Lepisosteus oculatus: one gene and its partners. The protein of the gene in region 1 purifies or fractionates together with the protein of each later gene. This does not show direct contact. Links are inferred from orthologs where the notes say so. Each region holds a gene or a part of one and is shown on either strand. Other genes may lie near its edges. The genes, in order: wdr20a, phlpp2, fbxw5 and phlpp1.

What was found.
Region 2: the proteins of wdr20a (region 1) and phlpp2 purify together in Homo sapiens (affinity purification with mass spectrometry; 4 studies listed by BioGRID and IntAct, with this or other methods). This does not show direct contact. The link is inferred for Lepisosteus oculatus from reciprocal best matches to the Homo sapiens genes WDR20 and PHLPP2.
Region 3: the proteins of wdr20a (region 1) and fbxw5 purify together in Homo sapiens (co-immunoprecipitation; 3 studies listed by BioGRID and IntAct, counting the BioPlex papers as one, with this or other methods). This does not show direct contact. The link is inferred for Lepisosteus oculatus from reciprocal best matches to the Homo sapiens genes WDR20 and FBXW5.
Region 4: the proteins of wdr20a (region 1) and phlpp1 purify together in Homo sapiens (affinity purification with mass spectrometry; 4 studies listed by BioGRID and IntAct, with this or other methods). This does not show direct contact. The link is inferred for Lepisosteus oculatus from reciprocal best matches to the Homo sapiens genes WDR20 and PHLPP1.

The regions. Positions count from the first base shown.
Region 1 is NC_090703.1:11,287,915-11,294,825, forward strand, and holds the start of wdr20a (WD repeat-containing protein 20), read right to left. Parts: upstream 3,013-6,911; 5' UTR 2,977-3,012; coding exon 2,713-2,976; intron 1-2,712. UniProt on the Homo sapiens protein: Regulator of deubiquitinating complexes. Activates deubiquitinating activity of complexes containing USP12. Anchors at the base of the ubiquitin-contacting loop of USP12 and remotely modulates the catalytic center of the enzyme.
Region 2 is NC_090715.1:9,959,599-9,967,405, reverse strand, and holds the start of phlpp2 (PH domain leucine-rich repeat-containing protein phosphatase 2), read right to left. Parts: upstream 3,013-7,807; 5' UTR 1,416-3,012; coding exon 1,215-1,415; intron 1-1,214. UniProt on the Homo sapiens protein: Protein phosphatase involved in regulation of Akt and PKC signaling.
Region 3 is NC_090719.1:349,287-356,651, reverse strand, and holds the start of fbxw5 (F-box/WD repeat-containing protein 5), read right to left. Parts: upstream 3,016-7,365; 5' UTR 2,909-3,015; intron 1,993-2,908; 5' UTR 1,970-1,992; coding exon 1,777-1,969; intron 1,433-1,776; coding exon 1,275-1,432; intron 1,169-1,274; coding exon 994-1,168; intron 850-993; coding exon 701-849; intron 619-700; coding exon 334-618; intron 217-333; coding exon 39-216; intron 1-38. Other genes in the region: transmembrane protein 268, read right to left, coding at 3,817-4,122, 4,707-4,895, 5,079-5,159, 5,398-5,508, 5,594-5,743, 6,051-6,158, 6,494-6,606, 6,691-6,781. UniProt on the Homo sapiens protein: Substrate recognition component of both SCF (SKP1-CUL1-F-box protein) and DCX (DDB1-CUL4-X-box) E3 ubiquitin-protein ligase complexes.
Region 4 is NC_090701.1:36,367,189-36,375,000, reverse strand, and holds the start of phlpp1 (PH domain leucine-rich repeat-containing protein phosphatase 1), read left to right. Parts: upstream 1-4,806; 5' UTR 4,807-5,014; coding exon 5,015-6,776; intron 6,777-7,812. UniProt on the Homo sapiens protein: Protein phosphatase involved in regulation of Akt and PKC signaling.

The DNA of each region.
Region 1 (6,911 bases):
CTGCAACTCTTTCAACAAAAACTAAAGCACGAAAATGAATCACAGATCCATGGATCAAAAGGCAACTTGAAATATGGCTTTGAGAGAAATTTAAAGCTGAAAAGTTACAATCCTAGTTAGTTCTGTAAAGGACATACTGCACTACTATTACTAACCACATGTTTCGCCCAGATTTAAGTGAGTGCCTGGCCAGCATGTATCCTCTGTCTCTTTGCTAAATGTGCACTCCATGTGCAGGCAGAGGACTTTCACCCACCTGGTCATCTGCACTATCAGTCACACTGGTAAACTGAAGAGTTCATATAGCTCTAAATCCTTCCTCATTCTTATAGTTTTAATAAGACCATCCAAGAGGAAAAACAGCATTTTCACTTAGATAAAAAAGGTTCCACTGAGATCTGCAAATGTGCTTTCTTGCAAGAGAATTAAGTCCATCTGTCTAACGAGAAGAGTTGGTACTTTAAACAGTAACTGCATGAGCAACATATGCAGTTAAATACATGCAAATTAATATGTACATTTTAAGCATAGACTTCTTTGTACAGTTTTTTTATTAATTCTTAACTGTAAAATATATTAGCATTATTAAGCGGACATAGCGTCAAGACAAATCGTAATAGATTTCAGTTTTGCTACTGAGGGAGGCACTAGTAAAGTCACTTCTCTAGACATGCGTCAGATTACTTGCAAAGAAACTTGCACATAAAGTTTTGTCTGCATGCAAAGAGACCAGCATAGACTTCACTTCCCAAGACTACAAAGCATTTGACAAGTTTTTCCATGAAGAACCCCCAACACCCAGTGGCAAAATCTCCACACTCTGAGAATGTGTTTGAGTCCTAAGTGTCCTACAATAAGGGAGTCATAGGCATTGTGATGGATGACAAACACTACAATGCAAAACATCGTCTAGCTATACATGTACATATGAATGAAATATGTACTATGTACTGACTAAAGATAAGAGAAAACCCTGATGTATTCACCCAGATAGACATTCGGACTCTTGACAATTAGGAACTCAAGGGTAAATCAAGCATCTACAGTTGTCTATACTGTGCCACCAAGAAGTGATTCCAGGTACATAGAAAATACATCATAAACCCATGAGCAAAGAAGGAACAAGCAGATAGAACACCATCAGCTTTAGAACAGTATTTTCAGAGCCCAGACTTTACAATTGTGATGAAAAACGGGATGATATAGGAAATTTGGATAAGGCACGTAATGGGATAGTGTCAGCTCTGGAATGTATTACTGAAAGCCTTGAGGCACATTACTCAAGAACACAGCATTCAAATCAACTTCAGGACAGAGCAGGATATAGTACACAGCCTGGCACAGGTTTCCAATTAAATACTAAGCTGTTCAGTGAAATGTAATGCCGTAGTATTCCCATTTTAATCAAACCAGACATTTTCAGGAAGCACTTTAATTTGAACCTTTTCTCAACATGTGAGAACTACCGCAGTGTTCTCAACAAATCTCAATCAACAGATATGACAGACTGTCTTTAAATATCTGGGGTTATTACCTGAAGTATTTTTTTTTTAAAATTACAATACCCTTTCAGCAGTACTCTTCCAACCCTCCTCTACATAAATGTATTACGCTCAACTCTCAAAAGTGAAACATTCCCGCATACTCCAATGACACTGCAAACTTGCTGAGCAATGCCAGCTTTATTGGGTATACGGGCACGGTGAACGTCCAGCATGACTTTCCAACATAAGGCGTGGCTTTAATCCTTCGACATTCAAATTACCTGTGTTCCCAGAGTTACCATAACCCCCAAGTACATTCACGGTGTGGGAAAACAGTGTGATTTTCTATCAAATCTGTAGCCTTCTACAGAGATCAGAGCAGACATTTTCAATACCGACCTCAACGAAGGGTTTCCAAACTGCTGAAGAAACGAAAGGTTGTCTGATAGGGCACTTAAGCCACATAATAATCATCAAGCAGTACTCTTGACACCCGAAATTACATACTGCGTCGAACAGCGACTCCGCTCATCCAGGCTGAAAGTGTTTAACAGTTTACAATACGCCCACCTTACGCATGATTTCACACATTGAATTCAGATCATTAACGTCTCCTCTTACGCCTCTGTCCTAGTCACAACCAGAGAGACCTGCGTGTCGGTCACGGCAAATTCATGCAATACACAAAACAGCTCGCACGCTAGGCGTACTAAGTTACCATATAGTTCTGCTTCGCGTACCGCCTCCGCAAGACAGGGTCGCCTTGGAAAGTGAGATCAACTACGGATAAAACACCAACCCCGAGAAAATGAGAAACAAGTAACCAAATGGAGACACATCCATTGCTTTGCGTGGCACCTCACACACAAGCTAACTGAGCAGATCTGTCACACGACCCGACTGTCGCCGCACGTCACGTCCCGAACGATTGAAGCACAGACACCGTGAAGTTCACGCACGCAAGTTTAGACACATTTGTGCACCACTTCGTCTATATATGACCATGACGGACGCTAGATGCACATTCCAAAGCAGGTGAAACAGGGCCTTTTTCAGCTGTCAGCTCAGTGCATACCACAACTGTTTAACAAGAAAGGCGAAAAGCAAACTGGAGGTAGGTGTCACTTTGGTTGCGTCAGCCGCATTATACCCCATTACTTCTCTACTTTAAAAGCAAACATTAATGCTATAAGAGCCGTTGGCTTGGAGAACGTAACGTCCTGTTTACCTTTCTGACGCCTTTGTAGATATAAAAGTATAGCTCCCGGCCCACATTGAAACAGATTCTGTCGCCGTTACCAGACTGGTCGTTGACGTTGACGAAGGAGACTTTGACGGGGTTAGAGCCCTGGGAATTGAAAGGCACCCTGTTGGGGCGGCTATATTCGGAGTGAGTGAGGAGTTTGTAGACGCCTTCCCGGGTGGTGAACTGAGTTTTAATTTCGTTCATCTCCTTCCCTCCTCCCTCCGCCGCCATCTTGAAAATTAGCATTCATCCTGCCCCAAGCCCGGATCTTACACACGGAGCATGCGTACTGCTGCTCGCGGAGCCGACTCGCATGGCGCTGGTTCGTCAGCTGATCCAGGAATTCACGTGCTTCTTCCTTAATTGCAAAATAGCATGTGGAGTGCGGGTCACAGGGCTCGTCAAGGTAAGAGCGGAGGTGGACTGCGCCCGGAGGCCATCGCTGGTCAGCGCTCACACCGCAGTGCTGTCAAGGGCATCACCCACAAAGGGTCAATTAAAAGAGAAACTTGCATGAGAGTTTCAAAATATTCACAGTTTCTGATGACGACGTCTTTCACACGTTACAAGGCTGGAAACGTGCTATCTGCTAACACGTTATCGGGTAAAAATGCATTATGTATTGGTTATAAAACACTGTATTCACATGTGTACGCATATAATATAGATCTATGTACGACTCACGGTATTTTTTATTTGTTATTATTTGCTTTTAACATTAACATATAGCTTATTGGTATAGTCTCCAGCATACCAGTCTTTCAAAATGAAACAACGCGATTGTCCATCCATAAAAAATGAAATAAAACTATAACAATAACAATAATATGTTATGGCACGTAGGGAGAGAACCGTGCCTTGCTCCACTACCAAAACAAGGGTCAAATTAATTAAATGTATTATGAGGGAAAACCTTCACTGAACATCCAGACAGTGCGCAGATCTTAAAGAAATGATCCGATCTCGAGTGAGGATAGTCGATTTCGCATCCCAGTCTTTGATATGTTTCTCGTCAGGTTTATGTACAAGAGACAGGACTTGACACTGTTGAACTTCTTTATTCTTTAACACTACATGTACGGCGGCAACGTGAGGGAAGACATCGGGAGTGCAGGCCTGATTGCTTATATCCCGTTCAACGGCATCAACGCCCCTGGGCTCTCAAATAAAACAAATAAACCATTTTTGAAGGGGAACAGCGTAAAGAAGTGAACGAGCCGCTGGATTCATAACTGACAGGTTGCGGGTTCGAGTCACCGCTGCAGACACTAATGTACCCGTCAGCCAGGTACCTTACCCATAGTTCCCATAGGGGGTAATGCCTGCGATGAACCTATGTCCCATCTTCGGCTGGGGGTTAGTCACATGGTCCTAGTCCGCTTAACACTAAGGTAACTAGGATGAGCTCGGGCCGGATGAATCACTATGCTCTGCTATGGACTTTGACTTCCAAATTTCCACGTCTCTGCTGATATTGACCTGCTGTGGATAATCACACGCAACAACCCCCATATGACCTCAAAACAGGTTAATAAGCGCTCATTTTATACGTTTGTTTTCTCTTGTAATGAAGTTGTGTTGCTGTACTCTTGTTATTTTGGCGTGTGGTACAGTTTAGTGCGATAACGGGTGCAGATTGCGTCAAAAAGCGAACCGATGGCGCCTCCTAGTGGCCAACCAAGGTTGACAACATCACGACCAAAACGTGAGACCGTAAAGCTCGAATAAAATAAGTCGAAGATACACGCATTGAACTTTATTATATTAGATTCATGAGGCGAATTCATGTTAAAGGGTGGCAGAGATCAAATATTTCATGATGCTAGGGAAAACCTGAAAATGTTTGTGTCCCACGCCTTTAAAAATGCAGTGACGATAACGTTTTCCCCGTTATCCTGTTGTCCTGACTATTTTTAAAGAGCATTACTTTTAAGAGCAGAACTGCATATTAACGACCTTTTCCTAAACTGATAAGAGCATGTACTGTACATTAAATTAAAGTACATTTGGGACCTAACGTATCTATCAAAAGTATTGGTATAGTTAATAGAAAAAAAAAATTACAACGTGTCTAAACATTTGTCTAGACAAAAATAAGATCTTATATCTTTTTCCTAGCTAAGTTTAATAAAATAATAAAGACAAAGGTACGAGTAAACAAAAACAGCATTTTATCAGCATTTTAGAAAACAGTGCAGAAACAAAAACGTTTACATTATAAAAGTTGGTCAAAAAGCTTACTAAAACCCCATCTTTTTTTTACCTTTTAATTACCGCATTTTCTTACCCTTCGAATTATGCCGCTAATATGAAATTTAGCCAACAGTGCGCTTTCCGTTTCCAGAGTCCAACTAGGAATTGATATTATAGATCTGAACAGCTATAGAGGATAGATCGCACACTTTGTAACACTGGGTGAGTCCTCACATTTTATCCCTGTGCAGAACCTTACTAGTACCTTCTTTAATTTACGTAAACGTTTTCATGCAAAATCCGATGACCCCTTCTGCACAATCCAAAAACTGGGAGCTGTTTGTAAGGAGAACGAGCAGAAACAATTGGGTTTTTTTTGTATGTCTTTTTGTGAACCGAAAGGAAAAAAAAAACACTTCCAAGTGCCTGCCCGATGAACGAGTAATATGTAAGACAACGATGAAGTGACTGCAAGCGCCCGGCGTCAAGAGTCACATGGTCGATGAGGGCCGCGCTGAAGTCTTCAGTGATTGGTGAGGACGACCTTTCTTGAAGGAAAAAAAAAATCCTAAAAAGCCCTGCAGATCCAATCCTACATATAGAGCTTTCTAGAATGAAAAGGTGAGATTTTTTTTTCTACAAACATCTCTCCTCGCGTCTTTCTAGAATCCCGGGTTAACTTTCACAGTCCTGAATCAAAACAAGAAATTCCAAGACTGTCGCTGGCCCTCCTCCGTCTAGCATGCTTGACAGCTGGGCCCTCCTACCAGGAAGAGCTGGCGTGAACTTCCAGCATGTTCTCGTTGAAGGTTACAGAAACTCATATGGACTACCTTCGCTCTGACATTGCGATGCTTAATCAATTGCGCAAGCTGGGGTTCAGCACACTTCGAGATCTTTCTAGAGATTACCTGACAAAATACGGATAAACGAATTTGTGCATTGCCATAATTGCATTTCCGCAGTCAGTTTTTTTTTTACGGATTTTCACTGAAATAAAAACACGAAACACATGCGACGTGCACTAGAAAACTGCACAAACAACCGACTATCACACAATTCTTATCCTGAGGCAAATGAAAAAGTCTGGATGAATGAATGAACGGTCAGTTGCAGTACAGGAAAGGTGCAGAAAGCAAAGGAGCATTGCAATTAAGATCTATGTCTATGCCTCCGTATTTTCGTATACATCTTAATCATAGCAATGATTGAACGACGTTTTTCTCTACCTGTCCCAAATAATTTCCCTGATCATTCTGCCTATCAGTGCTAAAGACTATTCTTCAGATCCTCCTAGCACTGCTTCTCTGGTTATCCTACAAATGTAAACAGCATCGTATTAATATCACAATATTACAAACCTAGTCCCACAAAACATACTGTACATTGATGTAATATCACAGACGAGCAAAAACACGTGCCACTCCTGGAATATCTACACAGACCATAGTAACATCCTGTATATCCTGGGAGATTCAAAGCTGTTTTCAGTTCTCATGGGTTAAAAAAAAAAAAACATTATTTTATGCTTTGCTTATGTAAGACAGCTAAGGTTCAGGGGTTGGGTGTTGTATAATGTGCCTCATCCTACGCATGTGAATCTATTAATCTGATGTATACTGAGAATATGAATGCTAGTGCTTCCTTTTTTGCCGTGCACAATAGACAGGAGTATGCTTCTTTGGGAGCACGTTGACGGTTGTGTGGTGTGATGGACAGTCGGGTTGGGATAAAGAAGGCCGGAGGATCCGTCCGGTCCCAGGTTTTTATCTTTTACATGTGAAGGAGCGGGTCTTGGCCTCAGCTGTGGTGGTGAGGTTCACAGACAGCTGCTGCGCTGGGCAGGCCTTGCTCTCTGGCCAGGGCCCGGTGGTGCAGGGGTGATTGGCGGGGCCCTGTTGCAACTCTGCATCCCTAAAAGGGAAGACCAGGACAGCTGCAAAAAGTGCCCCTATCACTGTTACTTTCTTTAGGTCCGCGCCCCAGTG
Region 2 (7,807 bases), on another chromosome or scaffold:
CTGTTCCAACATGCAACACATACCAATCTTTAGAGCGAGGGTGGTCTTGCGCTTCTCTTTATCAGATATGCATTGCAAATATGTCCGGTAGTTTGCCATATTTCAGTAATATTAAAGCACTAGCAAAGGACGGCAGTTTCCACCAATCCCTGTGTGCTGTTCTTTAAAATCCGTCTCTGGAGGTACACTTCACACTTATGAAGGTTATACATGTGTACGCAGCCGTATCATATATAATAGCAATGGATATTTTAATTAACCCGGATGCGGAGCTTATGTATTTATTTATATCAATTCGAACAGAATACTGCAATCACAGCAGTCATTTGAAGAGAGCATCCTGATTTACAAAGCATTAAAGTCTTCAGGACTAACATGATAAGAAGCATTGAAAAAATGATGAATAATATTCGTACAGCCCACATTCAAACATACGTAGAAAGTAAGCACGCATATCTTTAATAGAGTGGTGCTTGAGACATCTAATGAGTTAATTATGACATAATGGCGGAAGTACAGGAACATCCATAAGGGAAACAGTTAACTAGTACTGCTCGTGTATCGAATGAACTAAGGTCTCGGGGTATATTGGTTACATACAGGAAAATAATGTCAATGATTTTTAAAAAAAACAACGTCTGAAAAAGGCACACCGCTATTATCACAAATAAAAAATCACTTTGTTTCAAAACACTTGCTAACTATGCATACTAAAATATTCATGATATAATGACTAGATTTGTTTAGGGCATTACCGGAACTTAAGACCCGTGTAACTCTTATGGGTCAATACATTAATTGCTAACGTGCTTACTTCTTTCCTAAAATAATTGTTAAGAGATTAATACGGGTAAATGACTAAAACACGTTAAATAATTTAAAATAGATCTAACAGGTTACATCATGACAGCAACAGTAATGAATAACTCTACGCTTCGGTATGACACTATGCAGATCCCCGGTAGAGACTAACAAAATATACCTACCGATGCAGTTGGGAATATAAATTAAAAGAACGATTCAAGAGCACACGCACTAAGATAAACGGCAAACAAAATGCACATAAAATTAATCACCGTACTTAGTATTACTAGCTATGAAAGTAGAAGAGCTGTTAACAGTATCAGACGTAATAACGGCCCTTGTCTTTTCAAATGTGGGCAGGGTTGTGTCTGTTCTGAAATTTAGATACTGAGCATGATTGAGACATGTACCTTCAAAACCCGTATTCCAGTTACACGGGAGCCCGGTCCGACGAGGTCTCCGCGACCCGCAGCCTGGTTTGATCCCGGTTCACAAGGCTCCGGAGCTGGCGGAGCAACAGTACAAGAGCCGCTATCTTCGCCGCCACCTCGATCGTTTCGGTCCGGTTCCGTGCCCGGTACCGCCCCCGCTGGACTTTCGTCTTCCTCCATTTACATTGAAATACGTTACAGATGAAGGCGGAAAAAAAATGTCCAGTTCACAACTGGCAAATTCCAATGCACGGGGCAGCAGAGGAAAAAATCCCATTCAGCTCTGCTAAGACGCCATAACGAGACTGTAACATCACGGACTGTCAGACAGATCTAATCAATATACATTAGAAAGGCAGGGCCAGAGTTATTATTCATAGAAAACTGCCCATACAGAGGAGGAAAGCGCTGAATTATTCATCAGGGTACGTTCGCTATCATTAAGACAGACGCCTCACTCGAACCGAGATTATTTTAAATATTTGTACACTTTCTTAACTATTCACGATAAGAGACTTTTCTAGGTTATTCATTCCTCATCTTTGGTTTACCTGTAACGTCCAGGCCATTCCCAGATCCAGACCGCTGGAAGAATCTAAAGATCCTCCCCATCCACAAATATTCACCTGATAGGGAAAGTGGACACCTTGTTTCATGAACAGATAATATGGACTCTTCCGAACGAACGTTATATTCTCATTATTAACGTTAACAATCTCATTTTAAAGCTCTGAAAATCAAACATGTTAATGGAGATATAAACCTATATACTCAATTAAATCCTTTGCTCAAAGAAATCATTTAAGCCGAGGCTAATAATGTGCCAGTCATATTTTGCAGTGATACATTTTAACCTAGCATCAGCATGTATGACATGGACTGGGGCATTTACAACACGACGCATTTTTTATACTGCAGGAGAAGGCTGCCAAGTTTTTCTTATGGCAAGGAATCCTAACAGCAGGTTGCAAAAGCAAACAACTGGAGAATTGCAGCTTTGTGGGATTCTTCGTCAATAACGTCAGCTTTGCTCATTAGCTTCAGCGAAGCGGTTTACAGCTCTGGCGATATTGACACATTTGTAGCGAATCGCGGAATGACACCCTTCAAAGGTAAAGTTATCCTCTGCGTATGGAGTGTGGCTAGAAATCCTTCTCAATAAATGTCAATACCTGCCAATACAAGGCTGGGAACACAGAAAAGGACACCAGGCAAGAAGGAACTGGCAATAAACCACAATCTTGAAGTAAAGGGTGACCTGACAATGCAAAAATCAAGTCAGCCTTTCCTCCGTCCAAGTGAGGACAGTGTCAACAACCTGCAGATTATAAGCATTCTGGTATTCTGTGTGTACAAAACTGTCTATTTCCTCGTCTTCCAGGAAAATCGTATGACAATCTAGTCCCATGGATTACTAAATCAGATGTTAGTATTGTTTTTTTCCTAGAGAGAGTGTTAATACATAAAGATAAGTTTTTTTAGAGATTTAATCCTCAATGTTTAGTCAACTTGAATTAACTACTTGGAAAAAAAAGCTTTTAAACTGTAAAATAAAAGGCTCATCTGCTGTTGATTTATTACCCTCCAAAACAGCTTTGAGAATAAACCATCATCAGTAAAGCATTTTATTAAACTCTAAAATTTAAAGTTTAAGGTTGATTAGTTTCTTTAATTAGCTTCCACTCTCTATTAGCTTAATAATTACTATTCACTTGCATAGCAGATGTCCCTATCCAGGGCAATCTCACAGCTATCAATCCACAAAGCTGTATAAACAAGACAGCTCTCTCTCACATCACTTGAGAAGCCAGCACTATGGCACTCTGTAAATCATTTACCTAAGTTACCACCCTCACTCTGAAGTTTGTTTGCCAGTTTTGTCAGTCTCTTACCACTAATCAATCTTGACAAACGTCCATACATTGCATGTCCCCTGTGTGACAGGAATGAACTTTGTTCCGAATTTCAACAGGTTGTATTCTTCGTGATCTTGCTTTTTCGCTTCCAGAATTCCCGTTTCACCCTAAAAGGCGCAGACGGAAATGTGGAGTGTTGTCCGTGTTGACATGCAGTGCGGACAGAGAGTAAATCCGAAATGGCGTCTCCCTTTGTTTTGCTCCATGATGGAAATCTTTGTGCAACAACCAACAGCATATGCCTGTGCCTTTACCTTCAGTGATCTGCTTGCTCAGCAGTACTGAAACACAACCACAGCTCAGCTCAGTTCTGAACTGCATTCAAGGAAACGATGAAATCGTGCCGTTCCCATTCTGCCATTTATGTTAGAAAGATATTATAGGACATGAAAAAGAGAAGGAACCAAGACAGCATGGACAAAGCGCTTTCAAGGGACCTCCGACGTGCAAAACAAATGTAGACGCACAGAGTGCCAAGGCTTTCAAGAAAATCTAAACTGCAAGAGGTCAAACAAAAGGCTTTGTGGACCCACCGAGAATGTCAAAAAAAGCCAATTTATGATGTTGATGGGTATACAGTAATCATGTTTGTAACCTGATTGTGGCTCGAGAACAGCCTGCTGTCGCACTCCGAACAATGGAATTAGTGACTGTGGTGTCTCGCATGCAGCTTACTGAAGATTATGGATTTTTCTGTAAAGATTTTTAAAAGATTTCAGGTCACTAGCTCTTAAATAATTTGTCCCATTTATACAAAGAATTGTTCTGACAAACACTTTCATGTAACGAAACGCAATGAACATAAAAACCTCCCAATATTTTTCCACAACAGTCAACAAACTACTCCTACTAGTCCCAGATAAATAAATACAAAACACTGGCTTTCTATGGACGTTTTTTGAATTTTTATTAGTCACTGATCATAATTTTTCCAACCCAAAGACAATAATACACAGCAGAATTCTAAAATGTCCCATGAAATTGTTTACAGCCTTATTATAATTTCAGCCTTGCATTCCCTTCCAGGTTTCAGGACAATGGACTCAAACTCAACAATCCTTTCTTACCAATCAGATTTTATGTGGTACTTTACCAGAGATTCATAAAGGGGAACTTCATACGAAGACTCGCCAACTAAATGACTTTATTTCTATGAGAAGAAAAGGGAAGGAAACTGGATTCCTGACTCCCTCCTCCTTTCCCACACAAGCACAACATGTGTATCAACCAACATAATAGTGAAAAACAATCACATCAAATGGAATGGTGTGAATGCTCACTTTCATTTTATCCCCAAAGCTATGACTTTTTTTTTAAATGACAGATATTTAAACTTTTTTTAATTTTCCATGTTCAGCAAAGAGGTATGTTGAACATTTTCTTTGCATTTTAAAAAGATACATCAAGAGTAGAAATGAGAGTATTTACACTGTTTTGCACATGCAGCTCTGAAGCTGAAGATTGCAACCACTGCGACCGATGTGTCTTACCTTGTATGGAGTGAAGTAAGACAACCATGTATAGGCAAACATATATCAACAATTTATATTAGTGGATTTAAAAAGGTCCATTTGCTGTTCATACACTTCCCAGGGATTTGTTTCAATTCCGCAGTGCCCTAATCTGCCAGTTCTTTCAACACTTAAAAGCATACAATGTTCTTACAGGCGAATTTAAGAATTTAAACGATGGGGTAACACTGCACCCTTTAAACTAAAAATACACTGGTGAATATAAAATAAAAAACACTGGACACAATGAGAAACAGTCCAATTTTGTTCTTTGCTGCAACTCCCCAGTGTCTAACAGCACTCCCATGTGGTCAAGTGCTGCCAGTACAGAAAATGTGAATATTCTACTACAGCTTTTGTGTTATAAAATGGAAAGAAAAGTTACTGTTTTTCTAAAGGACGGCTGCACAGCAGAATGTGATTAAAAAAAGAAATGCTAGATAATAACAAAGACTACAAATGACAAACTGCCAGGACATAGAGCAAAGAGACCCCAATTGGCATCAGAAAGCACAAGAGTAGCAAGCCCCTTGCCACAGCTGCAGCCTGCTATTCAGGTCCATCAATCCTTAAGTTTTGATAAACACGTCTGTTTTTAACACTCTAGTTTTGAACTTGAAGCCTTTAGTTGTATGCACAGGTGTGTCAAAACTGACCATCCAAAGCCGATCTGACTTAATTTCCAACTACAGTAAATGTAAAAAAACTACTTTCCACCATACCTCTTGTATTATCTGTTGACTCAAGCAGGTAAGGGAAGTGGGCAGCCTTCAGACTTTTCTTTTCTGTAAATGTGACCATTTCTCTTTCACGTACAATCATAACAGAATCAGATGCAATGGCAAAAAAAGAACAAGGTGAGAGGGAATAGGAGACCATCCCAGCTACATACGTATCATAGCAGTGCAAGACAGAACATCTAGTTAGGCTTGATGTACATCATCTACATGAAGCAATGGAAGGCCACATTTAGGCTGTCTGTAAACCAGCCATTGGGTTTGATTGTATCAAGTGAAGAAGCAATAAGATATAGCTCAATCCAGAAGAAAGCTTATTGCATTTTGGCAAGGGGCCCACTCCCATTGAAGAGGATATAAACAGATTAAGAAGTTCATCAAAACAAATACATTGTTGTTTCTGGTGTTATTGTACAGTGTTACTCAGTAGTATATTTTTTGGACTTTTACCTCAAAAATCCCACAAAATCTCATCCACCAGCAAACAGAAACATCTTTATCAAATTACATATCTTTGAAAAGAAATGGCTAAGTAACTGTTTTAATTTTAGCCAGATAAAAATTTACAAACATCTAAAATGACTAATTTGTTGAAAGATTTCAGTCTGTCCTTAAAAAAGGAAAAATATGGTTTATCCATTACATAACCCCAAACTGAACAAAGTCTTCAAAAATTCAATGAAAAGGAGTAAATTAGTAACTATCCTTCTAAGGTTTATTAAATATCTGTATATAATTAATTTCTTCCTAGCTATTCATAACTGGGTCTTGAATTGGATATTTTAGCATTTTTACAATTATATACAATATACAGGCAGCAGATGCTATATTGTTTTGTAATGTACATGAAAACAGGGAAAGCCAAACAATTTGACTATTACGTAAATAACTAGATTTATTTTAGTCCATTTCAAACAATACACTACACGTGTATGTTGACAGAATAAAACTGATCTTTAGAAAACTGATCTGAAAAGGGGTGGTGGGCAATTGAGGTGATCAATATATACAGAAAAGCCTTGATTGCATTAAGTTGTTCAGTCTAAAAATAATCCCTAAAAGCACGTCATACATCTCTTGTTCCATATACACATGGCATTGCTACAGAAGATTTTATTTTCAAAAGCTAGATCTTATTTGATTTGGTCACGAAAAGTTAGCAGTTAATATAGAACAATAATGCAAAAGCAAAATATTTCTACACAATAAATCAATGCTGGTAGCTTCACAAACAGTGTAACAGAAAAACTCAGTAGCACAATCAATAGTATTCAATTTATGTAAATGAATGCCCCCCGACATCCCAAAAGTTGTTTCATGGTCCTGTTATGCTCGTCATAATCAAGGTATGCCTTACAATTCTTAAACAGAAGCCCCAAAAAAACATGTGAGGTATTTAGTTGATGATGTTTGTTTGCAAGAGCTAAGAAAACACATTGCAATTTGGAGCACTACATGTACCTTGGAACCTAATGTACCAAAAAGGGACAACATATCCACCATTTAAAATCAGGTTTCACTTTCAGTCATAAAAGTCAGCTTTTTTAAAAAAATCACTTTTAACCGGTAAATATTGAATTTATCTCCTACTGTGAGTTGATAAATCCTTCAACTTCCCAGCATTGTTCCTAAGCTAACTAAACTGATAGGAGTTACCTCAAAATCTGTACTCAACAGCAATTACTTAAGTTATCTTTTCAGTCCCTCAAAGGCAGAAATTTTAGACATGTACATATAACCAAGGTATTACATATCTAGATTTACGGAAAGCAGGGAAAGATTGGTCAAATCTTTGATATAAAAAGGCACATTGCTTTGATATCAGGCATTATTTGCAGGACATGTCTTGTCCTCAGTGACGTTTGACAAGACGAAACAAAAGTTCTCAAACAACTATGCTATTGGAAGGGTACATGAAAAAGTGCTGAAACAAAAGGCTTCCTTTTAGAAAATTTTAAAATCACAAGCCACAATGACAAAAAGTAAACACATAAAAACAGAAGAAACAGTACTACGTGCATAGCATTACATTCAAAATTATTTCCCATCTATATGTACAAACATTAAGTCAATGGCTATGCGAATACAGAAAAAATTAAGACTTTCTGGATGAAGACAAAAACAAACCTTAGTCGTTGCTGTTAAACTGCATACTGGTGTATTTGTGAACATACTTATTAACATGAGTCAGGAGAATCTTGATCTTCCATTCTGTTTTAGAATAGAATGGAAGATAAAGATTCATTATGAGGCCCAATGTACATTCTGCAAAGAAAAACAATTGAACATAAAAAAGCCTTTAAGATCACTGCAATGAACAGTAAAAGCACCTTTAAACCGCTCAAACCTTAGCAATAACTTTACTGCCTTGCTCCTCCCCTCTATCAACTAAAAATACATAACGTGGC
Region 3 (7,365 bases), on another chromosome or scaffold:
GTACCTATCTGGTGTGGGGTGCAGGTCAGAGGTCGTACCTATCTGGTGCGGGCTGTAGGTCAGGCTGCCCGTGGTGAAGAGCAGGTAGATATTGTGGTCAGTTTGCGCGATGCCGTCAGCCGCTGCCAGGTCCGCAGGGCGTGTGCGCGTCTTCCCCAGAAACCGGGCCACCCTGGCCTCCAGCTGCCTCTCACTGATCACCGGGCTGCCCCTGCCCTGGGAGAGGGCACCAGCGCTGGCACGTCACTCATTACTGACGAACGCTAGCCCGCCCCCCGCCCCCTGCCCCCAGCCCCTGCAGCAACACACAGCAGCTCCAGCAGCCCGGCTCACCTCGAAGGAGGGGTCCTGCTCGGGGGGCCGAGTGCAGAGCGGCTCCGCCACCGCCCTCTCCCTCTTCTCCTCCTCCTCCTCCTCGCTGTCGGAGCCCAGGTCGAAGACCAGCGGGCCGCGGCGGGGGGGCGCGGGGGCGGCGGCCTGCGCCTCGTAGTCCAGCAGGAGGTCGGGGGAGTCGTGGCGCCGGCAGTCTGCCACCATGACGGTCCGGATGGTGCTGGCGTTGAGGTTCTGGATCTTAAAGAGCCGCTTGACCACGTTCACGTTCTCGGACTCCACATCCTGCACACAGAGAGAGGCGGCAGGATACAGAGGGAGCGGACAGGGAAGACACCGCGAGCAGTGTGTCAGGACGGCAGCTGACCTGGAAGGCCTTGTTGAGCCACAGCACGGAGCAGGAGGTCATGTTCCCAATCCAGTACAGGTTCCCCGAGATCAGGTGAGTCTCGTTCAGCCAGCAGCCAAACACATCGTACGGCTTGTTCCTCACGCGGGACAGGAGGGAGAAATCGGCTGCAGGAGAGGGAGGCAGAAGGGGCGCAGCGTGAGAGGGCAGAGGCCATCAGGCTGACCGCCGGAGGGGCAGAGGCCATCAGGCTGACCGCCGGAGGGGCAGAGGCCATCAGGCTGACCGCCGGAGGGGCAGCAGACACTCACCCAGGCTGATGACGGCGATCTCCCCTGAGGAGGAGTGGTGCGGCCCGATGTACACGCCCGAAACCAGCAGCAGAGAGTCGTCTACATTAAACTGGGAGAACTGGGTGTAGCCCCAGTTAAACTGGCGCATACTGGAACTGTGGAGCAGCGAGATCTCCAGGTTATTGCGCCAAATCTGACCAGGGGAGGAAGAGGCAGAGAATGAGGTGGAGAAAGAGCAGGGGAAAGTCTGACTGTGAGAATTACTGACAGTGACAGTGAGGGGAAGGTAGCAGCAGCACCTTGACAGTGCAGTCCTTGGAGCAGGAGGCCAGCAGGTGTCCCCGGTGAGCAAAGCTGAGGTGCAGCACCTGGTCATGATGCTCCCTCAGCGTCTGCACCTCCACGCAGGGGATACAGTCAAACAGCCTCTGGAACTCGCTGTACCAGGACTCCGCGGCTGCAGACACACACAGCGTCAGACACCGTCACACAAGCAGACTCCCAGAGCCAGACAATCAGGCACACACAGAGTCCGACTCGGGGGAAATAGGCCCACTATCAGACGACCACATGCAAAGACAGAGCCGAAGGACAGAGACACACAGGGCAGGGACGGCAGCCAGACTCATGCACAGCAGTCTGATCTCTGTCCGGTTTCACCCGCTGCAACAAACCCAAACCTCCATTCTTCACATGACCATTCCAGCGCACACCGAGTCAAAGACATCGGCTCACTGATCGAACCCGAGACATTCCCAGCTCATGGGGTGGCGGGCAGCGGCGCCGTCACTCGCGGGGTACCTGGGTGCCTGGGCACAGAGCGCGGGATGCGGTAGTAGCGGTAGAAGAGCTCGCGCCACAGGAATTCGTCCCGGGAGACAGCGTACCACTGCCGGCAGGCCAGGCCCGCGCTCAGCACGGCATCGTGGGGCAGCAGCAGGAAGATCTCGAGCAGCAGGCTGTCCGGAAGAGCGACGGGGGCACAAGCGTCCATCCTGACATCCTGACTCTCGCCGCCTGGGGGGGGGGCAGGTCAGGAGCGGGGGAGAGACCGGAGAGGGCAGAGTGAGAGGGGGAGTTACCTGTGACTGACACAGCTCTCAGGGTGGGACACACTGTGACATGAGCCGTTACCCTGGAGACCCTAACATCGAGGGGGAGAGGGTGACAGGGGGGTCAGGCAGGAAGACAAACCCATCATGGCCGGCTGGAGACGTGGGGAAGGTGCCGCGGTGTTCAGGTGTACTGAACTCCTCAGGCACCGACCAGCTTGCGCAGGGCAGGCCCGCACTCTCACGCTCTGAGCTCAGGAGCTCCCACTCCCACTCGCGTCAGTGCGAACAGCGGTGCCCCGTGACCGAACCCATAGCAGACCGGACACACGCTTATCGCTCCATCATCAGGGGCCGTCTTGCCCCGGTCGTTTCCCGGAATCTCTAACTGACAGGAGCGGGATGGAGGGGAGCCCCTGAACGCGAGTGCTCTCTGTCGTCCGGGCTGCGGGGCGGTTTCACGGGGAGCCCACGGCCCGCATCGGAGCCTGTCCAGCACAGGTCGGCGGAATATTACTTTCGTGCGCTTCATCGAGCAGGCTCGTCGTCTCTCTCGCCATAGTTCTTAACCTCTACAGCGATACCATCTCACGCCATCGGCCCTGGTGACGCTGTCTTCCACAACTAATCAGCGTCAAAGCACGGACACTGAACGTCTCATAACTTCCACAGTAACTTTGCAAAACCGCGTTTGAAAATAGGTAAACATAACGATGTAAATGGCCGGTAGCAGCACTCGGTGCGTCTATAAGACAACGGGATCACTTTAGGACAGCGACCTTAGCAGCTTCTGTCTGCCTTGGACCTTAGTCATCTGCTTGAAATAATCGATATTTGCAGAAACACCAAAAAATAATACATTTAAGGAAAATAAGTTTCACCTACAGCCGCCTAGCCTCCGTTGCTCCGATTGTTGGCGTTAAAGGCCCACTCAGCTGATCTCAGAGTGCTGAGATTCGCCAGGCAGTAGCAATCAATGACAGATTTTTTTTCCATTGGCCTGCTGATAATGTAAGCCCTCTATTCAGAGCTGCTCAGTACTGCTTTACCTCATTCTGATTATTCAGATATTAATTTTCCATGGCTTTCTTGCCATTAGACATTACATTAATATCCACCCTGTATCTACATTTCTCTGTCACCATGCATGGTGATAGTGTCATGTGTCACTGTTCCAGTAACAGGGTCTGGCCACCTGGCTCTGTCTGCACTGGCCAGTACGGTGGTCTGGAGGTGCACATCCACCCCTTTCATAGGCTGATGTGAGAGCTAAAATGGATGGATATTACGTAAACACCCTCCCTGACTGAGTGTATTTATACACATAGATCACCGATCTTTAATGCGCTCAGACACTGTGTGTGTTCAGACTGCTTCATGAAAACCCACAGCTGGGCTGATGATCTGTCTGCAGAGTCAGTGCCTGTGCTGTGTGGAGCGTCTGTGGGGCCCAGTGCGGTCAGGACTGCGTTCTGTTGGCTCTCTAACACTTTGTGCTGCTGTACTGAAATGCGGGGGATTGACCCATGAATACATTTTCAGCTCTGTGTCAGACAGCAACCACGGCCTGGTGGCTGTGTAAGCAATTAAACTGCACACTAATGAAGAGGCTGTGTTAATGAGGCAGATTTCTGCTCCATTCTGCAGCAGCACAAGACAACAGACACTGCAGCCATCTGTGTTGTATCTGCTCACATCCCAGACAGCAAGAAGAGCCCTGCTCCCAGTGGCTTTCAAATTCTTTATTGTACAGACGGGATGGAAATGACATCGGAATTCTGCAGAACAGTTATGAATTTAAAATATGAGTAACACTTAAAAAGGAGTTTTGTTTTTGGCACATAATATCAGGAGTACTGATCAATTTGGAAAAAACAAATACCAGTTTACAGCCATTATTCATAGTTCCCAGGACAAATAGGACAAACAGGACAAAAGCGGGCAAGAACATCGGCCACCCGTGACTCAGCGCAGCCCCGTCTTCCTCCCTGGGGCCGCAGTGCTGGAGTCCGTGTGAGTCAGCGCTCGTCCGGCCTGTGGAAACCCAGGACTCGTGACACAGTGAGCATCCCAAAACCACACAAGAGGAACTGCACTGTTGAAAAAACAACAAAATAAAATAATTTACTGGTAAAACATTATTGAGGTGTTCCTGAAAATAAAAGAAGCCCCTAAACCGTGCGTTTGTGTTGTAACAGTGGTAAAGTGCGAGGGAGGAGGGAGACAGCTGACACACAGACCTGTCCTGGCTGGGCAGACTGGGGGAGACGGGGGGGAGACAGGGGAGATGCACACAGAGAGCAGGGAGCTCGAAAGACGCAGACGGACGCACATCATTCAGATCCTCCCTGGGCAGTGCCCTTCGCTGCCTGCCCATGGCCATGCCTGGGGGCAGGCTACACCGGGCAGCAGGGCACACTGCTGTCCAGCAGGGCACTCTGGACCAGCTGGCAGGGACAGGCAGTGAGGGAGAGGCCGGCGTGGGACTGGCTGGGAGCCGAGGGGAGATGTCCCAGGACCAGCAGTCGGACGTACACTCCGGACCACGACAGCAGGAGACACTCCGCCAGCTCCTGAGCGACAGAACAGCTTCAGAGGCGCACAGACAAGCTCACAGAGGAACAGAGAGGGGGAATTGGGATGGAGCATCAGCTGATCTGTTTCCAGGGTGATCCTTACCTGTGGTGTCCCATTGGGTATCAGACACACACACTGAGTGACGGACAGCTGCTTGGCACCTCCCCCTCTGCCCACACTGGCCAGCAGGGGCACCTCCTCTGTAAGCCCCGCCTTCCCCTCCTCTTTCGATTGGCTGGAAGAGCCGGTGACCACCACACACACTTGGCTCAGACGGCTCTGCAGCTCCAGCTGGAAACAAAGGGGGAGCGACACACTCACAGCACACAAACAGGAAACCTGCGCACCCGCAGGTACAGGACAACACTTAAAGCCCTTAGTTGTCTAGTTTTTGAAAGCCCTGTTGCAGCATCAGTGCTGTGATAATGGCACCGTGACAGCAGTCAGATTCACTGGGGTGTGTCCCTGCCTCACCTGATGAGAGCTGCTCCAGTGCTCCATCAGCTCAGCGAGGGCCTGTCTGCACGGACAGAGGTCAAAGTGCACCATCCACAGCTGAGGGCGTTAAGAAAGATTCTCTTCCCGATGGAGCTGTCAGCCTGAGCCACGTCAACTGGCCTATTCTCATCCTCCTTTCAGCCTTCTCCCTCGTCCTCCTCGTCCTTCCCTCTTTCCATCTCTCCCCACGTGTGAATCCTCCTCCCCACATCCTGCCCCGTGTCCCTGCTCTTCCTGCCCCTCCGCTACACCCTCCCTCTGGATCTACTCCCTCGCTCCCCGCGATGTGGGATACTCTCAGCGCAGTCGGGTGTCGGTCTGTGCAGCCTGTCAGTCCTGCCAGCAGCTTGTGTTTGAGCAGCTTCTCATTGACAGCCGCCATCCTGACATCGGTGTTGACGTTCAGCTGGGAGAGAGGGAGAGGGGGAGAGGCTGGGGTCAGAACCACTCGGACACACTCACCCGGACCGGCTTGGACAGGTCAAGGATACCTGTGAGCGGCGCCGGTGCAAAATGAGCAGCCCTCCTGCTGTGCCCAGCGCTGACGCCAGGCTGACCCACACCCCCAGTGACCAGTGCATCGCCACGCCAAGCGCCCGCAGACTGCAGTACAGGTTCAGCCACAGGCACACATAGCACACCTGAACAGGTCAAAGGGCTCAAGGTCAGCGAGACGTCTGCACATTACAGGCCTGGCCCGGCCTTCTTAATGCAATCAGAACCTAGGAAAGTTGCAACACACTGACCCGGCAGGACAAATTCTCCCCTGTCCTGGTCCTCCCCTGCCTCCATTTCTGATCTCTTCCCCCGTTTCCTTCTGCCCCCCGTCTCCCTCTCTCCTCCCACCCCGGCCAACATCCTCCCTGTCCCCCCACCCCCACCCCCACCATCCCTCAGTTCTGCCCACTGTCTGCCTCAGAGCCATGGGTCTGCTGGGCAGAGACTCACCAGGGCAAGAGCGGCGGTGAAGAGCCGCGAGGTGAGGAAGATGTAGCGCCGGATCTCCAGGTCCTGGAGCACCCCCTGCAGGTCGGCGCTCAGCTCTGCGCTGGTCACCTGGCAATAGTGCACAGCAGACAGCAGGATGTACACACTCTGCACTCAAGCACCGAGCTCCGCCCCGACTGCAATACCTGCACAGCAGTCAGCGTCTGGTGGGGAGTTTCTCATTAAAACCGCATACCTGCCACCGGCCTTCACATCAGCAGCCCTTCTCAGGGTGATGGTGTCTTTTAAGAGTCACTAGGGGATTCATAATGTGAGAAAACCCACGTGTTCAAGCAGACTTCTTCTTCAGACTGCACTCGCAACACCTTTCTGGGTCTTAGTGCTTCAGGTGATACGAGGTTCGCGCTGTACGTGTGTGCTGGTCTCTCGGTGTGTGAGCTCACCTGTATGCCCCTGTCTCTCAGTATCCTTGTCCCTGCCTCCAGGTTGAAGCCAGGACCCGCGCTGCCCAAGATATTGCCTGTCAGCCCCAGGACCACCTGCCCACTCTGCAGCTCTGAAACATGTCCACACAGGTACGCTGTACACAGCTATTTTCACTGGCTGCTCCAACGCCCCACCCCACACGCCGTCTTCTTACCTGGCTCCCAGCGGAGCACCCCCTCCTGGTCATCTTGGGCCTTGCAATAGAATGGGCCTGCCCCTCCTCCCCTCCCCTGCCCTGCAGAGCTCTGGGAACAGAATGATGGGAAACACCTAACCCAATGAACTATCTCCACCCTAAATGTAAGACTGTTAATTCGGGTAAAGGCTGCAAAGTCTGGGGTCAACTGATCAAAAGATCACAACTGAAAGATCTGGTGGTCGTGCCTTTGCAGTTTTGTACGTCACAGAGTGACGTCACAGCCAGGAAAAGAAGGCGCTATATTGAAATATATTTAAATATCCACCCCACCCGACCAGACAGGCCCGGAAAACAAATTGCCCCCATTATTTTCATCACAATCAAGAGTTCAACTACCGAGTTTGTTGGTACCTGTAAACGTCCTTGTAGATAGTCAGGTGATTACCCGAAAAAACAAGGCGCTATATCTCGCAAACGAAAGCAGCACAAACGCTACTTACAGCGACTCAAACCGGCACTAACGAATGAGGAGGGTTTCATCGTTTGTGCTGTCTGTAGGGGGGGAAACTTCACGGAGCTCAAGGAAAACCCTGCATGGTATTTTAAATACAGTATTTCGGACGGATTTTGAATCTTGCGTTTTTGCGTTGTGTTCATTGTGTTTTGCAATAAAATATTAACTTCAGAGTA
Region 4 (7,812 bases), on another chromosome or scaffold:
AAGGTTCATAGCATTTGAAACAAGCTTAGAAAGTTTAAAGCAGCCAACCCAGATATGTGGTCAGGGCAAAGCAAGGGTCAAGTATCCAGGGAGAAGTAAGCAAGAATACAAGAACAAAGCTGAAGTGTCAAGCTAGGATCAGTTCTAAATTCCATACCAAAGCATCGAGCATTGTCCAAGCAGAGCATTAATATTCTGAACCACCAGAGGGAGGCATTGTTGCACAGTGCCTGCAGGTGAATCAACTTTCCTGTCAGAATGCAGAATGTCAACACCTTGTTAATGTAATATTTTTTTAAAGGGTATTCAAATGAAGGTGTTACATTGAATGATCAGGCTGCTGCTCACCAATCAAATTTAATCATGTTTCTTTTGACATAGGGTACTTATTTTAAAGGGCAGCATGGTGGCACTGTTAGCATTGCTGCCTCACAGCACCCAGTTCCCAGGGTGCTACCGGTGTGGATTTAGAGTTCTCCAATGTTGAGTTTCCTCACACAGTCCAAAGAAACTTTGGTAGGTTAATTGGCTTCTGTAAATTTGGTGCTGCTGTGAGTGTGTGCATGTCTGTGTCCACGTGTGCCCTGTGATGGACTAGGGTCCCATTTAGGATATATCCATCCTGTCTTGCACCAATGAGTAGTTAGTAGTTACACTTAGTTACAGTTAAGTAAGTGAACGGGATGTGATGATGATGATCATGACATATTTTGGAGAATAAGAGTTGAAGCACAGAGAGAGAAAAAAGGCCAAGGTTATCCATGATATATTATTTCCAAGTTTATTAGAAGGCAACATTATAGTGTAATATGCTACTAAACCAGTGAATAGAAAAGGGTTACAATAAAATTCAAGATCATCACTCTTCAGGTCTTTGGCATTACTAGTATTTCCAGTAGTTTTACGTTTCACACAGTGTTTCTTTCATATAGCCAGTTTCCAACAGTTATATGAAAAGCAAAAAGTAATTTTAATTATTCCAATCATTTCCAAGTATGTTTTGCTAATTGCCTGGATGTTGGCAGTGTAACATACTATATGTCACATAATATTGAATCCAACTCTGCTTTCATTTAACCAACATTTAAAAAGCATAACAATATAATGGTTAACAAAATGGGGACACCAGGACATTACTTTTTAAATCTTAAGATATTTGTAAGTGAACAGTGTTAAAATACATATTTTATGGCACTAATGTATATAATAGTTAATTGTAGGAAAACGTTTTTTTTTTTATGGGTTGTACACTGTGGTAACCAACATTCACCTGGCTGCAGGGACCACAAGCTTAATCAGCAAAAAAAACACAACTTAAGCAACATTGCTGCAGCGTTGGGGTGGCATGGTGGAGCAGTGCTTAACATCACTACCTTGCAGCTCTGAGGCCCTGGGTTAAATTCTGAACCTGGGGTGCTATCTATGTGGAGTTTGAATGTTTTCCATGTGTTTGCATAGGTTTTCTCTGGGTGCTCTGGTTTCCACCCATAGTCCAAAGACATACTGTTAGAATAAATGGCTTCTGGGAAAACTGTCCCTAGGTTTGAGGGTGTGTGCTTGGGTCTCTTACCTCAGTTATGTAGCATACTGTCAAAGGCCTATATGTTGGTAGGTCCCAACAAATCACTATTTGGTCTGTGTGTGATCTTATCTGGCAAGAATGTCGGTTAAATTAAAATCATACAGATATAATGTAGCCCCCCAGATTCAGAGGGTTTTCAGGACTGAAGGGCTCAAGGACACACACCTTGAATTAAAACTGGTACAAACAGCACCAATTTATGGGAAAAATAGGTTCACCAACTTAAGAGAAGAAACAACTGTACCATACCCAGCCCTACACCAACAGATCTTCCCATAAGCAGATGGCCTGTCCAAATTTACTTCCTCTGCTGAGAGAGGGGACTCTGTAGGAGAGAGAGCTACAGCAGCTCAGCAGCTATACCCTGGTGCTCTACCATGGCTCTGGTACCCATAAGGGAGAGGAGAGGTGATAGTTGGTCCTCTGCTTTGAACGGTAGAACAGAAGCCATTATACTATTGCTGTAGTGTCTTGAGGCTTTTCAGCTACCTTTAATTTGGAAGTGTGGGTATGCAGTGCTTAATAAAGTGCTTGAATTCCTTAATGTGTTGAGGTAAGTCAAAAGAACACACCAACCTACTGAATTGTGTAGACTGGGGCAGTCATCAGCTGATATTTTTTCAATTGCAATAAAAAATGCACATAATGCATCATAGTAATGCACATACACAGATCCAGTAAGTAGGTAACATCTGTTTAAGTATCACTTTACTGTATAGGCTCCCTTTGGAATCCAGTAATGAATTATCCTTCTCACATATGAGGCTGTGAAGGATATTACTACAGTTTACATTAGTGGCATGTCTTTTATAGTCTGCAGTGTGTTGTCTATGATTTTGTAACTTACCCCCTTTTTAAATTAATCTGTGATGATGGTGCATTCTGCTTTTATACATCAAGGCTGGAATTCTCTTCCAAAAGTGCTTAAGGGCCTTTTGTTATCTGAAAGTCTATATTTGTGCTCTTTTAGAATCGTACTGATAACAGTATATGTTTAAGCGTTGCATTTTCATTAAATATCTTGTATTTATTTTGTAATGGTAAAGGTTGTGTTTTTACTTTATATGAGATGAGACATATAAAATTAAGTATTTAAAAAAATATTTTAGAATGAAGAATTAACGTTCTGAAACTTTCGGAAAAACAATTTTCTTTTTCTTTCTCATCTTAACCACTAGATGTCACTAATGTCAAACGTACTCCTGACGCATATCTTAAAAGTATCACTCGGAATCCGAGATATATTTATGCTTTGCTCCTAATGTTTCAGGGATAGGCCGTGCTGCTCCGATCCTTACCAGGATCTTGCTAATAACGTATGGATGTTTGGATGTCTCTCAAAACAACCTCCACCAGTCCCTAAACAGGTCGAAGTGGTTCACGAGAAAGAAAACGTCGTCCACAGTCACAAGCTGGTTTCATATTCTTTGACACCCGGTCTCTTGATATACAGCAGCAATTACTCACCTGCACTGTAAATGGCATCTTGTGATGTCCTACCAAAGTGCAGACGTATTTGAGAGCAACAGGCTGCCGCAAGTATTAACTTCACGGAGCTTTAAATGTGGGCGGCTACTTTAAACTTTGGTTTAACGAAGAAATGATTAATTTCAACAAGAAAGTGTATTTCGATATTTGATCTGTTGAGGTATAATTGAGTATTATCCTCCTGTAAAGAACTCGCAGAAGGGATTTAAAAAAAGATCAAGGATGCTTGGATATATAGTGAACTACTAAAACTTTAAGTAGTATTAAAACTATACAGTTTACAGAAGGGTTTTGTTTGATTAGGTCAGTCAAACGGACTACTTTGAGCTGGATGATATAAGTATGATTTATTGGTGCCACAAGTATAAGGCCAGACGTTAAGATGCCACACAGGGTCATGTGGAGGTCCGGAAGGATGCTCACCTCACGAGTATCATTCAAGAAATGGCAGGAGTAGACTGAGACCGACGAACTACTGGAAACCAAAGAAGCAGGATTCTTTTTTGTCTGTAGCTACTCATATGCAAGTATCTCAATTGTAACCGACAGTGTATAACCAATTCTAAAATGCATGTGCTTCAAAAGAAAGACTTTCATTCATAACACATAAAGTGTTAAGTAAATCTAAGTAATGTTTTTTTTATATCTTTGAGGTTTTACATTACATGTTGGTAACATACTAGTATATTAGTACAAAATGTACTCTTAACAGCAAGGGCTTTGCAGTTGTCTTTGTCAAAAGGTACAGGAAGGTCACAGAGCAAGATCTGTAATGTTTACGACTATCAATCCTCAATATAGTTATTTAAAAGCTACTTTCAACTTTGACCGCTAAAATAGCTCAACTGCTCTACGACATTTGCTGCTGTCTGGATGTCGTAAAATATTTTTTGTACTTGCTTTAATATTCCAGTTTTCCAGGGTTGTCTCCAGGTTGTTTTCCAGGTTATCTGGTTTTTAGAGAGCAAGTTGTGTACCGATATTCATGCTTTTACATATTTACTTTCTGCAACTGAAAACACTAAAATGGCTCGTCTTTACGCAAAAGATAAAAGTAAGCAAACGCTGCGTTATATTATGTAACAGTCCACTAGCATTCACACATCTGTAAAATGGTCTTCGTTATTGTTTTTAGTGTATGAGTTTGGGTCCTAACAATGTTTTACCAAAGCGGTTTCAAGCGTTCAAGTTTTTTTAACAACGCTGAATGCTTTTAGCTTATTTTAACAATTGGAACAAGAAGATCTCGAGATGAAAACAATACGATCACACACCTGAAAAACTCTTCACAACCGAAACATTACGTATTTCTTCTTTCTTTTCACTTTTGCGGGATTAAAGTCTTCTTGTTCCTTACTACCCGCACACCTCCACACTACAGCCTTTTTTTTTTCAACAGCCGGGTGAATATGCGCAGACATTGAAAAGCAGGTGTAAAAAAACACAGCACGTTCATGGTTTCGAAATAGAAAGTTTCTGACGACTTTTAGAATATGTCGTTTTCTGCTTGAATAGTTCCACCTTTCCTGAGGGGGGCAGTGTCGGAAAACGAAAGATGTTTACACAAAGCTCTTTTCGAAACAGCCTCCCACATTTTAGACCCTCCTCTTTAAGATGTCACCTTATGAATATAAACAGAGTTCCGCTGACGTAGGATGTCTGTCGACATTCATTTAATATTCCCGCATATAATTTTATAATTAATGAGGGACTGACGCGCCCCCCTTTGCTTTTTACTTACGCTTGAGTTTCTCCTGCCACAGTCTCCATGATGGCGGTTTCGGCAGCTGCCGAGCGGCTCTGAGAAAAGCAAGAAACGAACCAACTGGATTTACAATGGCGTAAGACCCGGAGTGAGTGGCCAGCCTGCGCAGTTTTGCTTGTGTATTATTTTTTTAATTAACACATTAAGTGTATTTTCTTCGTTATTTCCACTCACGTAAAATGGAAAGTGCGCGGGCTGTGGTGTTGGACGGCAGGTTGGCACTGGATGGCTCTTCCACAGCGGTCGGGACAGCTGCTTCGGACTCTGAAACTGGCAAAATAAGCCATGCCGGTAAATTGAAGAAAGGATCCAGCTTCACTACCGCTGGTAGTGGGGCTGCAGCGGCGGTGGATGATGGCGGAGGCGGCGGGTCGAAAGCGGAGAGTGGGGGTCTCCGAGGGACATCTGCCCCTCTCCTTCACGTAGCAACCAGCAATGGAAATCATCAGGTTCAAGCGGCCACTGGTAAAACTAGTACAAATCCTTCTCTTCCTGCAACCACGAGTGCTTCAGGTTTGGCCAGTAACACTAACTCACTGCTGCTTAGGAGGAGACGACTGAAGAGAAATCTCTCGGCTGCAGCTGCAGCCTCAGCCTCTGCCTCCTCCGGGAGCCACATGAGCTCCGCTTCGTCCTCCGCCCTGAGCACACGGAGCCTGGATCGAAAGATGCTACTGAGGCACCGTCAGGTCATGCAACTGCAGCCGGCAGATCGGGAATGGGTGAGAGCGGACCTCCAGCGGGGTTGCTTACACGTCCACGACAAACTTGTGCCCTCGTACCTCAGGCCAGTTTTGTGCACACTGGAAACCAGCGCCGGGGAGATAGCGCGGCGGCTGAACCAACTCGGCAGCAAAGGAGGAGCCGTGGTGAAACTGGTCGGCAAAGGGAGCCCCACGACAGACTTAAACGGCACCTGCAACGGCAGACGGGTGGGCAGCGGTGCCCAGCAGAGGCTGCGCTCCCCCAGTGCCAGCCCGGAGGTCGTGGAAGTGGCGGACGGTCCTGACCAACTTGGTCATTTCAACTCCGCGAAACATGCGGAGTGCAGGGAAGGCCTGGCATCCCCCCCGGCAGAAAGGCTGAGGTTGCCGCTGGCGGAGAGCAGGAAGAGCCACAAGCGGCAGCAACTGGAGACTGATTCTTCCAGAGTAAACCCGCAGTCGGAGCGGAAGAATTTTACCAGCCCTTCTTCGGATACCAATTCAAACGCCGACGTCGACTTGATGTCACCTGCCGCCGATGCCGCGCTTGTACGCGGCGCAGAGGAAAGTTGCGGACCAAACTCTCCTTCGGATGTGGACAGCAGCACCTGCGAGGAGCTCAGCGCTGCGGCCCAGCTCGCCGACCACCGGGACTCGTTCAGCGATGGCATCATCCTGGGTACGGATACGTCCACCAGCCTCAGCCCGAGCTTGGACAGCGCACCGGAGGGGCTCGACGGTTTCGGGAGTTCCTCCGACGAGCTGGATCTGGACAGTCAGCTGCCCAGCTCCATTGCCCAGGAGTTGCAGCAGGTTGCCCGAGAAAGCGGCAGCGCCATCTCGAATAACAACAACGCAGTCGGCAACAGGCTGTGCGGCTGTGAGCTTCCCAACGGAGCGGTGGCTGACCGGGGACCAGGCGTCAGACACGACCCGCTCAGCTCGGCCAAACTTCCCTGTAGCGGCGGCCAGTGTCAGCCCAGGCCCAGCCTGACAGGCAAGGGCGCCGCCAGGCACACCTCCACCTGGACAGCGGAGTTGGGGTCTGACCGCTGCTCCTCTGCCCCGACATTGTACGTCCAGCTGCACGGCGAAGCAGCGAGGCGGCTGGAGCCCGAAGAAAAGCCCCTTCAGATACAGAATGACTACCTCTTTAAACTGGGATTTAAAGACCCGTGGAGGGTGCAGGAAGAAGGGATGGACGCCGAGATAGGCTGTATGATACGTTTCTACGCAGGTAAATGGATGATTTGGAAACATTTTTACGTCGCATAGCCAGTTGTGTTTGCAGTTAAATGGGTCGCATTTTTTGGCCGTTACGAACAGCTTTAATTGTGCGCGGCAGCTACAGTTGTATCCCAGCCAGAAAGAAGAGGGTGTTTTTAAGTTTGGCGAGGTTTGTGTTCGACCTGGGCCGAGCACTGCCTTTCCCGAGCTGCCGCTAGTGTAAGCCTAGACGCCTGCAGTACCTCTGTCATTAATAAAAGATTAACTTTTGCCTGGGCAGCCAGTGGGTCGTCTTGGTGGCCGATCGGCTTTTTTATCGCCGCGGCATCTGGAGGCAGCAGGTGCAGGTCGCTGGCTCCTGGAAGAGACCGTGTAGACGTGAGGGGATGTGTAGTTTCATTGTCCGGAATTTGTATTGAATAACTCAACTCACGCAATCCAGGATAAGTCAATTTGCATTTGATTTCAGTACATTCCAGCAGAATGTGTTTTAAGACTTGTATTTATTGGTGTGAGTGTAGGTTAAATATCAGTCTTCTAAAATCATGCTTAAACAGATTTAAATACATTAAAATAACGAGACACCTGACAAACCACAGAAAGTTTATACTTGGTTGCAAGGATTTAGTGATGTTGCACTCCGGAAGTTTAAGCAGTGTGATTCATAATGTCATTGGAGCTCTGTGTACTTTCTCACTGATCCAGTCTTTTTAAAAGAGTTTTAAAGTTCATTCACGGAAGGAATAGTTTATTGTATGGATGAGTACACAGAAATTGTGTCCTGTTTAAATTTGTGTAGCCAAATTTGTTTTTAAATGGATAATAAGATCATCCATTTGTAGTAGTGTATAGAATAACTGTAGAAGGTAATCCCACTTTAGATCTTTGCAGGACTCTTTTGTGGGTGTGTGGAGGTTTTTCAGAAACCATGTTTTAACTATGAACGTATTCTGAAATGTGCTGTGGTTGCTTTAGATTCTGCCCATTATTGCTTATTGCCGATGTCAAAGTTCCGTGTTTGCTTTGTGGTTTTAATTTAATCCACT